2 linked regions of the Sus scrofa genome follow. The protein of the gene in region 1 purifies or fractionates together with the protein of each later gene. This does not show direct contact. Links are inferred from orthologs where the notes say so. Each region holds a gene or a part of one and is shown on either strand. Other genes may lie near its edges.

Region 1 (3,645 bases):
ACCAGGGTATAGTAAAAAACATTAGTGCAGGTGAGACCCGAGTTGATGGAGAGAGGGAGTATTGAGACCCGAGTTCTCATTCAGATTCTATCACTGTGTGACCTCAGGCAAATGACCCAGCCTCCCTGGTCCTTATTCTCATCTTTATTATTATTATTATTATTATTATTATTATTATTATTATTTTGGTCTTTTTAGGGCCGCACCTGCGGCACATGGAGGCTCCCAGGCTAGGGGTCAAATTGGAGCTATAGCTGCTGGCCTACACCACAGCCACAGCAACACCAGATCCGAGCCACATCTTTGACCTACACCACAGCTCGCGGCAATACCAGATCCTTAACCCACTGAGTGAGGCCAGGGATCGAACCTGTGTCCTCGTGGAGGCGAGTCGGATTCGTTTCTGCTGCGCCACGACGGGAACTCCTTCATTACCACTACCACTACTAGTATTACTATTACTGGTCGTGCCCACAGTATGGGGAAATTCCCAGGCCAGGGATCGACCCGAATCCTTAACTGCGAGGCCACCAGGGAACTCCCTCTCATCTTAAGTAAAGTGGGAGAGTTGGATTTTGTCCTTCTGCCTTCACAGCCCTGGTACTTCATGAGGGAGGGGTTAGATGATCAGATGATGAGGGGTTGGAGGGAGAAAACATGGTGTGGCTTGGAGACGGGGAGGGATGGGGAACAAAAGAATAGAAGGAAGAGGCCAGGTGCTAAATATAGCCCCAATCGGGACTAGGACCAGCTGGAGCCAGCCAAGCTCCAGGGGAGGGGCTGGAGTCCTCATGTGCTTTTGGCTCTTTGGGTAGAGGAAAGACCCAGGAGTCAAGCCAAAAGGAAGATCTGTTTAGTTCAGTGAATAGTGTGAGGTTCCAGCGCAATTACCTTGTAAAATACCAGAATGACTCTCTGGGTGCCTTTGCCATCACACCAGTTGGCAGAGTGGTTAAAAACAAAACTCACCAAATAATATGCAGGCCTCCCTTGCCTGCTGTGACTTGCACTTCAGCTCTAACCTCTTGCCTCTTCCTGCCCAGGAGGCTACTGCAGAGATCTCAAGACCCCTTCAAATTGCCCCTGATTCTGCTTTTAGGTCCACCCAGAACCACCCACTTCATGCAAAGAAAACCAATACCCAACAAACAGCCGGTGCTGTAATTTGTGCCCGCCAGGTGAGAGAGATGCTAACCCTCTAGCCCCGTAGTGCGACCCCCCCTTGGTCTGCTGGCAGATGCAGACCCCGTGTGTCAACTGTCAACTTGCGTCCTCGATGACCCCTGGATGGGATGTTCTGGGGCCCCTCTCTGCAGACCCAGCTCCAGGGTTCCTGTCTCTTTTATGTCCCCCACCAGACTACGAAGGCTGGAGGGGTCCAAGACTGTCATCTTTGAGTCCCCTTTCCTAAAGCCCAGCCTAACTGTTTTTCGATAAGTGTCTGACTTATAGAGTTGGCTGGAGGTACCTCACTTCCTGCTCTTTTCCAGGACAGAAACTGGTGAACCACTGCACAGAGGTCACTGAAACAGAATGCCTTCCTTGCAGTTCCAGCGAATTCCTAGCCACCTGGAATAGAGAGAAACACTGTCATCAGCACAAATACTGCGACCCCAGTGCGTGGGCTGCCGGGGAAGGGGCACTTGGGAGCCAGGTTGATATTCCAGCTCATTCCTGACAGCACAGCCTTTCTGTTTTGTTCTGTTTTGAATAGCCAGGGTCTGTTCTGATTGGGTTGGAGTCTGCGTTGTCCTGGTTGGTACCTAATTTGATTGCCATCCCTTGGCAAGGGTCTAAGAGGAAAAACAAACAGGAAGTGTGAGGAACAGGGACCCCCTGCCACCCCGAGCATGGCCAGCAAGGGGTTCCCATCCTTTCTGCCCATCTCTGCACAGACCTAGGTCTCCAGGTCCAGAGGGAGGGCACCTCGAAAACAGACACCACTTGTGTGTGCAGTGAAGGCCATCACTGTACCAACAGCGCCTGTGAAAGTTGCACCTTGCACAGCTTGTGCTTCCCTGGCCTCGGGGTCAAGCAGATGGGTAAGTGTCCTGTCTGGGAATCAGCTGTAGAAGCAGGCTCAGAGAGGAGGCAAGGGCCAAAGGAGAGGGGCTTGGTAGTGGGCACTCAGCCCTGGAGGTGGAGGGACCTGTCCCCATGGGTAGTTTCACTAGAGTGGGTGGGAACGGCAACCTTTTCCTTCCACCTCCTGCCATGGTGATCTGCCTCGGGAGGGCAGTGGGAGAAGCCTTCCTGGGGACTGCCTGACGGGGGGAAAGGTGCTTCAAGCAGGCTGCTCTTCCTATCCTGCCTGTCCCTTGGTTCCCTTGAGAGCCAGACAGGTGGTCCACTATGATGCTTAATGCTTCCTCTTCCCTCCCAGCGACAGAGGTTTCTGACACTATCTGTGAACCCTGCCCAGTTGGCTTCTTCTCCAATGTATCATCTGCTTCAGAAAAGTGTCAGCCTTGGACAAGGTATAAGGACGCATCCCTTGTATTTCCTGCCCCAAGGGCCAGGGACCTCCATTCTATCTGGCCACCTGCCTTTCTGCTCCCCATGGCCATGCACACTCGTACACCTGTAGAACTTCTAGAGTGACCTCCTGGCCTAGCAAACGGACACCTTTCCAGCATTTATTTTTTTTCCCCCTGTCTTTTTAGGGCTGCACCTGCAGTACACAGAGGTTCCTAGGCTTGGGGTCAAATCGGAGCAGCAGCTGCTGCCCTATACCACAGCAATGCCAGATCCAAGCCACGTCTGCGACCTACACTACAGCTGACGGCAACGCTGAATCCTTAGCCCACTAAGCGAGGCCAGGGATCGAACCTGTGTTCTCATGGATACTAGTCAGATTTGTTTCCACTGAGCCACAACGGGAACTCCAACACTTTTCAGCAGGTCTTGCCTGTTCTCTCTTGGTGGGAAGAGATACCGCAGATCGCTAATCTTCAGTGAAAGGCTCCCTTCTTGGGGGCATGTGACATCCCTCCTCTTTCCTTGTACCCCTTCCTCTGCTCCCCATTCCTCCTCCTCAGCTGGTTTTCTAGGCTTTTGTTCTAGGCTCTTCCAGCCCATCCCTTTGCCCGCCTGCCCTGGGCCATCTCATCAACATCCATGGCTTCAGCCACCATCTCCCTCAGGTGGTTCCCAGTCAACGTCCATCTAGATTTGTCTCCTGGGTCCCTGACTGTTGTATCTAACTGCGAAGGGTACACCTCCACGCAGGTGACCCACAGGCACGTGCCAGCTCCCCTCCCCCCTGTGTAACACGCTGGCATGCCTCCTTACCTGCCTCCCTGCCTCTGCTCTCTCTTCCTCAGCTGCTCCCCCATCCTTGCGCCAAGTTCGGATCATGGCACTCCCTATATAATATGCTTCATGGCTCCCTGTGCCTTTTAGGGTGAAACTCAGACTCCTGTGCATGGCCTCTGACCTTCCAGCTCCGTTTCCTGACCTCTTCCCACATCATGCCGGCAACCCCCTCAACACACTGTCTGTTCTGTTCTATCACACTCTTCTGCCTGGCATACTCTTCAACACATGCCTGATTAACTTTTTGCATTTAATTTGAAAAAAAATGAATAAGACAGATGTGAGGGCAGAAGGCACAAAAGGGCCTATAATAATATGGTCCTTTTCACC
Region 2 (4,117 bases), on another chromosome or scaffold:
CCAAGAGATTGTAACTTGAACTAAACACTGAAATACTATCAAAACTCATGTGCATATTTGGAAGAAGTTTTTAGTCATTGGGAATCAAGCATGCATTTCTTTTCTCTGTATCACAAGCTGTTACAAATACTTTTACTATTAACATTGGAACAGAAGCCCTCCTGTTCTGTTACTGACTGGCAGGCAGAAATGACGGGGAGGAAATGGGAAATGGTTCAGGGTCTCGGAATTCCCCTGGCTGCCTAATTAAGTGGCTTGTTATTTGGAAGTTTTTTTTGAAATATTTGCCCCCTGGAGTTCCCCTGAGAGAAGAAAGCATCCGATATCATTGACAATGAGTGTCTTCACAGAACATAAATTAAAAAATTCTCCTGCCGCCATTCAACTAATACTGCATGCAACTGTCTGTCTTCACCCCATTGCTAAAGAGGGGGCTGGAAAACGTCCCTGACTAGTAAAGGTAGTATTTTGTATTTACAATTTTTTTCTGACAGTTAACTTTTAAAATGTGATGGACAAATGGGCTCCTTTATGGTTCGTGTACGATTTACATATACACACATCTACATAAATGTATATATTCCGTTCTAGCCACATTCAGAAAAAAGGGGGAGTGAAGCCTGGCCTGAAACACCGTGTTCACTTTGCTAGTGATGAAAATAGGACACTTTTCGTTAATGCATTCGTCTCCAGAAGAGAAAAACAGAAAAGATAGTGATTATATAATAGATATGCCCCCCAACATTATAGAATCAAGGCTTCAAAATTAATCTGAGGCTGTTCTGCTTTCCAACACTTGGCTTTTTTCCCATCCCCAGGGCCAGCTGTGGAAGGTTGACGCCAGGCAGCTGCAAAGGGGAAATGGTTACAGCTGTTTACTTAGTTGCAGCCGAAACGCCTCCGGGCTGACTCCACCCTCAAACGCCGTCATCCACGCCGAGGGGAGGGTCCCATTGGAGGAATCCGGCCGGGAACTAATCCCGGCGAGTCGACGTGGGGAGAGGTTCGCCACCCGCGCCCGGGCGTTTCCCCAGGGCTTCCAAAGATTCAAACTCGACGGCTCTCGCCACGTCCCGCTCAGGAGGATGAGAGGGACAGCGAGGGAAAGTGCTCTCGCAGCGAGATTGAAGATTAGCACACCAAGCTCACGCCCAGCCCTGCCTTCCCCTGAGGGCTGACCGCGCGCTGGGTCCCGCTCTCCGCCCACAGACTCCGGGGCGCCCTCGCAGAGGGAGTGACGCGCACCCGGTCGGCGCGCTGACGTCATCGTGCGTCTGCGTGGGCCCTGAGCGGGCGGGGGGGGCCCCAGGAGCTCTAACTGCGCAGCCCAGCCGGCAGTTCAGCCCGCGTCGTTGCTCCCGGGACTGTGGAGGCTCCTGGTGGCACTGCTGTTTCGTGTTGGACGCGTCTGCCCTGTGGTGAGTGCAGGTCCTTCCGGACCCAGGCCTCGCGGGGCTGGGTCGGGGCGCGCAGGCCGCGGGGCCTGCCTTCCCCGAGACTGCAGTTGGGCTGGGGAGGACAGGGCCGGGAGTCGGGGGTCGCAGGTAGCAGTTAGCTCTTTGCTACTCTACTGTCGAAGATGCTTTTGTTTAATTCGGAAGCTCCAGTTCCAAGACATGCTGTCGAAAATAATTTTTTTAATTGACCTGTTTACAAGTCTACTCTGGCCGCTTCTCACTTTTCTGGCCCTTGGCCTTTGGCCAAGATGTTTTAAGAGTTTTTGCAGGGTTTTAAACTTAACCCTCGGTATTCCTTTATTTAATATATTCAAACGGAGACAGTAACGTATCGGCGAGATCTCTTGTTTCAGATAGGTACAACCCCGCTTTGCCACTTTAGTATTCTATTGTATATTGCGAGAAATAACTCGGGGAAATTAATAAAATTCCATAATTTCTCTTCTTTTTCCTTGCAGTCTGTCTCCTTCCCCTTCCCCCCAGCCACAGTTTGCCTAAAGAGGGCAAATCCTGTACAGTTCCTGCAGATTAAAAATATGCAAAGATAGGACCTCAAGTCCTTGTGTAACGGAGGCATTCATTCAAGCGGTCACATTCCCAAGGCCAGTGTTTCATAGGCCATTGTGCTGTGTTTTGTTTTGTGAGTTGCTTTCTGCGAATTGTTGCTTTGGAATTGTGAAGGCATTGTATTCACGAGTTCCTGGTGAATTTTAACTCTTAGTAGTTTTTTTGCCTAGTTCTGGAGAGACTTGACATTAAGAAATAACGTTATTGTCTGGATAACTGCTGTACTGTTGATGATGGGTGCAGTCTATTTTTCACCCTCCCTTTTTACCGCTAGCAAATTGCCATAGATAATTATCCTTAAACTAAATTATAAGTTGTCACCAGAAGAGGGGAGGAGGAGTTCCCGTTGTGGTGCAGTGGAAACGAATCCAACTAGGAACCATGAGGTTGTGGGTTCGATCCCTGGCCTTGCTCAGTGGGTTAAGGAGGTCTCAGACGCGGCTCGGATCTGATGTTGCTGTGGCTGTGGTGTAGGCCGGCAACTATAGCTCTGATTGGACCCCTAGTCTGGGAACCTCCTTATGCCCCGGGTGGCCCTAAAAAGCGCGCGCACACACACACACACACACACACACACACACACACACACAAGAAGAAGAATAGGGGAGGAGACCAGGGGCGAAGTATTTTACTATGTCCATCTGTCTTCAAAGTAGTACATAAAAAAAAAAAAATGTGTACTTATTGCTAAGGGGAGTATACTGCATTTATTTTAAAAGGCTTTGCAATTAATTTTGGTGACAAATTGCTGGAATTAAGATGTATTATTTAGGAGTTCCCGTCGTGGCGCAGTGGTTAACGAATCCGACTAGGAACCATGAGGTTGCGGGTTCGTCCCTGCCCTTGCTCAGTGGGTTAACGATCCGGCGTTGCCGTGAGCTGTGGTGTAGGTTGCAGACGCGGCTCGGATCCTGCGTTGCTGTGGCTCTGGCGTAGGCTGGTGGCTACAGCTCCGATTCAACCCCTAGCCTGGGAACCTCCATATGCTGCGGGAGCGGCCCAGAAATAGCAACAACGACAAAAGACAAAAAAAAAAAAAAAAAAAAAAAAGATGCATTATTTAAAGTATAAGTCACTTTTAGAATTTACTGAATAAATTGAGAAAATTATAAACTGTATTTACTGTGAGAATATGGTTTTCTAAAATAGCTTTTGTTTTTTCTTTTCAGATTTACAGTCCTGAAGAGTCTACTTTTGCCCTCTCATTTTTTCCCATTGAAGTAATAAATCCAGTTGTGGAGACTCAGAAACTTTATGAAGGGATATAGTTTGCATTCTGTGCAATGTAATTTTGTGTATGAATTATATTTTTAATTTATGAAGGGTTTTCAGAAAGAAGGCTAGTAGGGTTAATTATTGGTACATTACGCATGAATAGTGATTCTGTTGATAATGCAGTATCTTCTTAGGCTTATGTGTTAACACTAGAAAGGACAAACTGTATCTTGATAAATATTTACCTTTAATTACAAAATGAGTAATATACATGCATGATTCTTAAACAAAAAAAGTTAATTTTTTAAGAAAGTTTCTCCTGTGAAAATTTTATGGTTAACTAGTTAAATTTATGGAGAAAATACCCTCAATTGATCAAGTGTAATAAACTGTTTGCAAAGTTAGGAAGAAAAACAACATAATGATGCTGCAGGTAATGGAAACAAATATAGACAATATTTAACAAAGATGGAAGAGTTATCAGTTTTTGAAGGAAGCAGAATTCATTTCCTTTGACATCACACAGGCTTCAAGAAAGCTAGTAGGTATTGACATCCCCGAAAGTTGTTAGCTGAAGCTAATTTAACCTTCTTAAGTAAATACTGCGTTGGTAAACTGTGAAATTAGCTTTTAGATAATGCGACCATATGGAGACTTTAATTCTTTTTTACTAGAATAAAAGATTTTTTAAAGTATCATACTAAAGTGCTGGTAGGGAAAGAAGCCTGCATTTAGTTTTTTTCCTCTTGTAGAATAATAATTAATTGGCTTTATAACCAGGCTTTGTAACTTATAACCAAAGGCAAATTAAAGGCATAATTTAGGTATTCTATGCTTGTTTAGAATTTTGGGACTATAAACCTCTGTTTTAACATTTT

What was found.
Region 2: the proteins of CD40 (region 1) and baculoviral IAP repeat-containing protein 2 purify together in Homo sapiens (affinity purification with western blotting; 4 studies listed by BioGRID and IntAct, with this or other methods). This does not show direct contact. The link is inferred for Sus scrofa from reciprocal best matches to the Homo sapiens genes CD40 and BIRC2.

Annotation. Positions count from the first base shown.
Region 1 is NC_010459.5:48,289,038-48,292,682, forward strand, and holds part of CD40 (tumor necrosis factor receptor superfamily member 5 precursor), read left to right. Parts: intron 1-1,099; coding exon 1,100-1,178; intron 1,179-1,468; exon of another isoform or gene 1,469-1,490; coding exon 1,491-1,616; intron 1,617-1,895; coding exon 1,896-2,042; intron 2,043-2,383; coding exon 2,384-2,477; intron 2,478-3,645.
Region 2 is NC_010451.4:33,040,327-33,044,443, forward strand, and holds the start of baculoviral IAP repeat-containing protein 2, read left to right. Parts: upstream 1-1,280; 5' UTR 1,281-1,418; intron 1,419-1,915; exon of another isoform or gene 1,916-2,097; intron 2,098-3,193; 5' UTR 3,194-3,309; exon of another isoform or gene 3,310-4,117. UniProt on the Homo sapiens protein: Multi-functional protein which regulates not only caspases and apoptosis, but also modulates inflammatory signaling and immunity, mitogenic kinase signaling, and cell proliferation, as well as cell invasion and metastasis.